Linked DNA regions of Oryctolagus cuniculus. The protein of the gene in region 2 purifies or fractionates together with the protein of the main gene of each other region. This does not show direct contact. Links are inferred from orthologs where the notes say so. Each region holds a gene or a part of one and is shown on either strand. Other genes may lie near its edges.

Region 1 (3,815 bases), on a different chromosome or scaffold from region 2:
GCCCAAGTGCTTGAGCCTTACACCCACATCGGAGACCAGGAGGAGGTGCCTGGCTCCCAGTTGGGTTCTTGGGGGTCCCCTAAGGTTTGGCCCTGCTGCCCTTTCCTCTAGGGCCGGGGTCATGGAATGCTGAGGTCATATCCCTTCCTTGGTCTGTCCCAGGCAACTGGGCCTCCCATGAGCTAGCTAGGGTGAGAAAGGAGTCCCTTGGTGGGATTATTTCTTGTAAGGTGTTTTGTGGTCTTTGGGGCAAAGTGTACTAATCTTTTCCCCTGCATCCAGATTTTGATCTAAGACTTACTCTGCAAACTGTAAACACATACAACACAGCAAACTGACATCAGGTGCTCAAAGGGCCATGCTCAGAGTGGGGAGGGGATGGTTACAAGCTTCTTTTTGGCTACAGTGGCATGGGTTACCTTTATAATTTTTAAAACCTAGTCAAGAACAATTAAATTCTGAGATAATATTATAGATCCCTCCTTAAGTTTCCTCTTTTGTCAAAAGCAACAGAATGATTCTGGTAACTGGGTGCTCTCTTTCTGAATCTCCCACAGATGTGGTACACAGGAAGGAAAGAAAGGGATTAAACATGGTCAAATATTTGCACTAGGGGTTTAAGTTGTCCTTTTCAGAAAGAGAAAACCTTTCACAAGTGTTAGCACATAGGCAGGTGCTATTCAAGGCTGAAGGGATCTTTTTCTTCAAAAAAATCAGAAAAAAAAAAAAAAAAACAGAGAAAGGAAGTAGACCAAGAAGCCAGACACACACGTACACAAAATAGCTGCTTTGCCTTTGGAGTTGGCTTGGGATATTGGGATACCCTCTGCTAAAAGCCACAACTGTTTCTGCAGTTGAGACCAGCACAGGGAGCTTCCAACAGGACACTCATCTTCCTTCCCAAAATCTCATGCAAACTCAAGAGGTACAGGGTGCCCCACCCACAGCCCCTTACTCTGTAACTACAGGACAGTGCGACGGGGGGTCATTTGCAAGTGGGCCTCACATGATTGATCGCCAGGGCTGGCATGGTCTTCAGGCCAGAACTGGGCCCTGTGTCAATTCTGTGGGTGGCCGTGCTTGTTCTCTTGTACTTGGGTGGACTATGGGCTTTTCCTGTAACTGTTCTAATGCTTCCACTCACATCCGTGACCCTAGATCGCAAGACCTGAAGGTAAAACACAATGGTCCCTGCTGGTGGTGTATTTGCAACACACGCAGGAAAGAGCTATAAATGGGCCAATAAAGCTCCCTTAATTCCACCCTGCTGGAAGACTTTACTTGCTGCTTAACTCAGGCCAGTAAAGAAACTATTGAACAGGCTGTTTTCGTTAAAGACTCATCCTGGAGAGGGAAAAGGGGAGGAGCGGGGCCGGGCCATGGCCCCACCTTTGCCAGAGAGCCTCCGGGGCTGTGTGCCGATGCAGATGCTCCGGCTGTCCTCATCATCCTCGGGGGGCCGGCTCAGGTCATCCCAGGCACACTTGGCGCTGACACCACTCAGGTTAGAGCCGTCTGTCTCGATGCCTTTGTCAACTCGCTCCTGCTTGAAAAGATCCAAAGAGCCAGAGTTCCTTCAGAGAACTGGGGCCCCACAGTCACCACTGCCCTCCCCACTCCCATGCTTAGAGCACGTGTCAAGCCCTCATAGGTGCCAAGGAGGACGCAACAGATGCAGCGCAAGGCTTCTGCTGCTGCGCTGCCTGGTTCCCGCATGCGACTGTCTCTGCCGGCCCCTGCACTGCTGCAGGGGAACCAGGAGGAATGGAAAAGCCAAGGGGAGCTGCTTTTCCACCATCAGCCTTCCAGGACCATGGTTTTCCCTCCTCTTTCAGAGCCCAGACCCTACCCACTCCATGCTGGCCTGTGAAGCTGATGTGGCAAAGACAGGACCCACTTCCTTGAAGAAGGTTCTCTTCCTCCTCTCCTCCCTGATCCTTCAAGAACTCTTTCCTGCTACAGCAGTCAGAGGGGAAGCCAGCTACAGGTGAGGGAGGCCATGTCTGCAGTTCCTCTTCCAACAGCTAGAGGGTGCAGCTGTACAGAGATGTGCCCAATAGCAGAAGCCCTGGTGTCTCCTGGCTGCCACCCCTAACTTGTTTTGCAAAAGACACTAGATAGAGTTCCTTTTCCATCTCTTAGATCGAACAAGGGCCTGGAGGACAGTGACCAACTATAGACAGTGTCCCTACTCCACCCCCAACCCCCTGCCAGGAGGCTCTGCCTCTGTGCAGGTCTTGGCACTGTTGAGTCCAAACACTCTCCAAATGGCCTCGAGGAAGAGCCGTACTCAAAACATCCTTGGATTTTCTGGCAAAATACAGTGCTGAGATGCTGGGTTTTAGATTAAAGGTCATCTAGAAGGCTCCAGCAACCCTGCCCATCCACAGCCATCTGGGCCAAATAAAGCTCCTGTGACTGAGCATGCCAGCAAGGCTGTGTGCTCCCACTCCCCTCATCAGCACCCCTTGCCCTGCTATGGCATCATGGGCACCAAACTGGCCAGTCAGGGAGCTATCTGGGGGAAACTGCTCTCATTTGTTGGGACTTATCACAAGTGTCCCTGCCTAGGACACCTCCTTCCCATCAAGCACTCCCTCCTCTTTCCCAGTGTCACCATCAGCCTGGACAACGCTGGGGCTCTGGTAGGGAGAGGTTAGCAGCAGGGAATGGCTCTGGGTCCTCCAGGTAGCAGCAGGTGAGCCCTTCTTGCTGAGGGGAGAGCCTGGGCTTCTCCCTCTCCACTGGCTGCCCTGAAGCCCTTTACCCAGCTAAGAGCTAAGACTAGATACCTCCTGGCTAAACTGGTCCAGTGTACCTACTTCATAAATGAAAAGAAAGAGTTAAGAGCCAGAGAAATAAGGAGACTGGGTCAGGCACACAGCTTGTTAGTGGCAGAGCTTGGATTGAAGGACAGGAGCAGTTCTAAACTGGACTGACAGCAAAAGCAGGCCTGAGGGCAGCATAAGGGAACGCAGCGGAGTTCACACCTGGTCCACAGAGACTAGGAAAGCAAGCTGCATCCTTCTCCCATGGCTCCCTACTTGCTTTGACAGACACTTGGGTGCTCTGGGTCCTGCGGGCTGGTCTCGAGAGCCTGCAGACCACAGAGAACTATTCTTAGCATGCAGACAAAGGACAAGTTGCTTGCCTTACTATTTCAAAGGACCAGGCTGCAGACAAAGGGCTCAGCCTTCATGGTTCCTGGTTCTTGCATAAGCAGAAGCTACAAGGAAACCAAACTTAAAGCAGAGATAACAGAGGATGTTGGCAACAACTTGAAAGTTTCAGTGTTAAAGGCACTAGGAAGACAGAGGAGCATCATCTGTGAATGAAGATTCATGCCCAAGCCCTCATAGGCGTGCAGTAGAGAACCCGGGGACTGCAGGCAGCGTGTCCATCTGCCACCTCTGCCCTGCTCCAGAAGGCAGCTGCCTGTGGCCTGCCAGAGCTTTAGAGAAGGAAAGGTTCAGAGACAGCACTGCCCTGCAACTGGTGGAGGGGGAGCAGGAGCCACGCCCATGGCAGGCACCTGGTAGGATGCCTGCTGCTCCTGCTCCCTGAGCAGGCCATAGCAAAAGCAGGCATGCTCCTGGGTCTTTCAAAATCCATCCACATGCTGATGAGTGCTTCTTCTAGGACACTAAAGACGGTGAGGCTGTCCAGGTGGGCCACTGTGAGGGGCAGCTGCAGGCCTGCGTGTCTGAAGACTCCTTTACACATGAAGGATGCTGACCTAGCCAGCAGGAAGGGCAGCTCAGTATCTGACTGCTCAGGCTGGAGCATGTGTCTCAAAGGAGGAGCAGGGCCTCAGG
Region 2 (3,815 bases):
TTGACAAAATCAGCATTTATTCAAGGTATACAATATGCTGATTTATATACCCTTATGCATGTGTAATGATTACCACAATTAAATTAATCAGCACATCCTTCACCACACAGTTATCATTTTGTATGTGAGAGAGAGAGAAACAGGTGGGGGGGAGATAAAGAGGTGAGCACACAAACTGCTTTTACACTGTGTCACATATACAACAATCCTATTGAAGGAGTAGATCATTATTATGCTCTCCACTGAATAATAAAATAAGTTAAACCACAGAATGGTTAACTGTCTTGCAAATGGTTTCAATATTAGCAAACAAGAGAAAAACTAGAATCCAAGTGTTCCAACACCACTATACCATATTTGTCTTGTATAATGAACACATGTTTAGGGGCCAGCATTGTAGTGCAGCAGGTTATACCACCACTTGTAACACCAGGATGCCATATCAGAGCCGGCTCCAGTCCTGGCTGCTCTGCCACTACCAATCCATCTACCCACTAATGTGTCTGGGAAGGCAGTAGAAAATGGCCCAAATTAGGGCCCATGTCACACACATGGGAGTTTCAGATGGAGTTTCAGGCTTCTGGCCCAACCCCAGCTATTGTGGCCATTTGGTGAGTGAACCAGCAGATAGAAGATCTCTCTCTTATCTCTCTATCATTCTGCCTTTCAAATAAATACAAAAAATGTAGAAAACCACATTCATATCCATATTTGTTTCTAAGAAATAGATTCAAAAATGAAAAATCCTTCAAATGCTCTTAAGCATCAGTATGTCCATGGCCTATAAGGTTCAGACCCTATATGTATCTTCCAGTGATGTGTCAAAGATAAATGGAAACAGAAGAAGGATACTGTAAGATACCTGAAAAATCATGTCAGGTACATTCCACCTATTACTATTATCCTGGAGTTGTTACTTAAAAAGATATCTGTGGTGATCTACTCAAACTACTAACTGCAATCTGCCCACCCAGCAAAATAGTCACATGGTGATGTGACACCCTATCAGTCAGGGAACTCTTAGAATCTAAAAGCCACATCTTCTTGATCTCAACAGCCTAAGCATTTGGTACAGTGGTTGTACCATATTAATACAGACAATACTCTTTATTCAAGAATGAAGGAATGTGAAGAATACAAAACATCATCAGAGAACACCTTACCTTGCCCTCTTCTTGATCCTCCAAGGAAAATTCCATCAATTCATCTGAAATCTCTTCTGCCCTATCTTCTACTGCTTCTGGATTTTTATCCAATTTTGGAAATAGAGTAATGGGACTGCCCAAATAATTCATCTCACTTTCCACCAAGTCTCCATTGTCCTGCCAAGTATATGAAAAACATTAAAAACTCTTCAAGATCCTGACCTTACACTGTATACAAAAATTAACACAAAATATATCAGAGGCTTAAGTGTAAGAGCTAAAACACTAAACCTCTTAGAAGAAAACACAGATGGAAAAGTTTAATGACATTGGATTTGGGAATGACTTCCTGGATCCGACACCAAAACTTGGTGTTCAGCAAAATGAAAAACTTGTGTGCATCAAAGGACACTGGTGGGGATGGCATTATCATAGAGTGGGTTAAGCTGCCAACTGCAAAACAAGCATCTCATAATATAGGCATCAGTTTGAGTCCCAGCTGCTCCATTTCTGATCCAGTTCCCTGCTAATGTGCCTGGGAAAGCAGCAGCAGATGTCCCAAATGCTTAGGCACCTGCCAGCCACATGAGACCAGATGAAGTTTTAGGATCCTGGCTTCGGCCTAACTTCAGCCTGGTCCAGCCATTAAGACCATGTGGAGAGTGAAGCAGAAGATTTAAGATCTTTCTATTTCTCTCTCTCTCTTTCTCTGTAAATCTGCCTTTCAAATAAATCTTTAAAAAAAAAAAAAACATACTAATACAATTGAGAACGTGAAAAGACAACATAGAAAATGGAAGAAAACATTTGCAAATTATAGATCCAACTAGGGCTTAATATCAAAATATTATCTCAGAGCTGAACAATAAAAAAAAAATACCCCAAACAGGACTCAGACATTTTCCCAAGGAAGATACACAATGGTCAAGAAAGCACATCATAAATGCTAATTGTATATTGATCATAGCAGCTCAACATAAATAATCATTTGTGAAATGCAAATCAAAATTACAATGAGATAAGATTCCAAACCAACCAGGATAGCTATTAGGACATTTCAAAAATTTGTAGGGGAATGGAATTAAGTTTATTCTGGTACAAAAAAATTTTAAATCCATGCAGTTTTTTCATTATAGGCATTTTTATGAACTTTCTGAAATACAGAGAGACACAGGCTCCCATCTGCTTCCCAAATGCCTGCAATAGCCAGAGCTCAATACAGGTCTCCCATGTGGATGGCAGGAATCCAATTACTTGAGCCATCATTGTTCCCCACAAGGGTGTGCATTAGCAAGAAGTTGGAATAAGAAGTGAAACTGGTACTCAAATCCAGGCACTACAATTTGAGAGGCAGGTACACCAAATGGCATCGTAACTGCTCCAACAAACCCCCACCTCTCCTTAAATTTAAACAAATGAAAAGGTCAGAGGACACATGGCTTCTCTCTTTCACTGTTTAAACTTTACTTCTCCCATCCCTTTTCTCATCCAAGTCATCTGAGGAAAAAAAAAAGGTCATAAACCCCACAACTGCCATCCCATAGCTCCTATTACCTAAATAAACCCTTAAGCATGATGTTCAGAGACTCACCAGCAAAGAAAGGGGCGACACATAAGGCCCCCTTGGTCTCTTTTGAAACCTCAGGTTCCTGGGTGCCTGCCACTGGGAAGGCTTCAAAGTGTTGCGTGCCTACATAAAGAAAATGCATTGGCAGGAGGAAGAGATGTACTAGTGGGCCCTGCCAAAAACATTTCATCTGATCACACCATGAATAATCTTCATGAAGCACATTAAATGTAATCAAGGCTGACCCTATATCCTGAAGATTGAAATTATGGTTTGAGTTTGATGTGTGGCACAGATTTACTGTGGCGGATACTAATCTGACGATCACAAGCAAAATGAATGGGGGGATTGGGGAAGAAGCCTGCCTGGGGAGAGGATGGTGAGATTTTTAAAGAGTGATTATAAAGGGAGATTAGAAAGGTAGTACAAAATCAAGAAAAAGCTGATTAGAATAGCCAGAAACATGGCATATCTTAGTCAACGGAAGAAAAGAACAGCATCTATCTTTTATGCATACTGACCTGGGGGAAGGGAAGCAGGAAAGAAAAAAAGATGGCTAGAAAAAGGGATTAGTTGAAGGGATTAGGTAGAGAATTATCTTCATGATTAGGGGGCTCTGGAGAGGCCAGTTTCAACTTGGAACTGAAGGATGTCCTAAGGCTTAGACAGGGAAGGCCATGGCTTCCTTAGGATGGGGGCTCATAAGCTAGACTAAGGGGAAAATAAGAAGAAATCAAGAAATCTACATTTGTATATAAAGCTATGTAAAGAATCTCTGAACAGATTATATAACTTAAACTATCCCTTTAAAAGAAAAACAAATTCCCAGTTCTTTACATTACAGTAACAGCCATTTTTGTTCTCACAGCAAATGAATATGAGTAATGATGATAACTTCCTATGGGGGACTTTGAGCTAGGTTTCTCTTCTAGGACCAAACCTCAATGAGAAAGAAAAAAAAAAAAAAACTAAATGTTTCCCTGTACTGATTCAGTTGGCTTATCTAGCATATGAACTGCTCCACATCTCACAATGATACCAATGAGTTGCTTCACTCAAAGAAATGCTAATGCATTTAGGTTTCCATTAAACACTCACATTTT

Evidence for each region.
Region 1: the proteins of CDC25C (region 2) and SUFU purify together in Homo sapiens (affinity purification with mass spectrometry; 4 studies listed by BioGRID and IntAct, counting the BioPlex papers as one, with this or other methods). This does not show direct contact. The link is inferred for Oryctolagus cuniculus from reciprocal best matches to the Homo sapiens genes CDC25C and SUFU.

What each region holds. Positions count from the first base shown.
Region 1 is NC_091446.1:27,383,431-27,387,245, forward strand, and holds part of SUFU (suppressor of fused homolog), read right to left. Parts: intron 1,547-3,815; coding exon 1,390-1,546; intron 1-1,389. UniProt on the Homo sapiens protein: Negative regulator in the hedgehog/smoothened signaling pathway. Down-regulates GLI1-mediated transactivation of target genes. Down-regulates GLI2-mediated transactivation of target genes. Part of a corepressor complex that acts on DNA-bound GLI1.
Region 2 is NC_091437.1:26,122,207-26,126,021, forward strand, and holds part of CDC25C (M-phase inducer phosphatase 3), read right to left. Parts: coding exon 3,811-3,815; intron 2,836-3,810; coding exon 2,737-2,835; intron 1,323-2,736; coding exon 1,164-1,322; intron 1-1,163. UniProt on the Homo sapiens protein: Functions as a dosage-dependent inducer in mitotic control. Tyrosine protein phosphatase required for progression of the cell cycle. When phosphorylated, highly effective in activating G2 cells into prophase.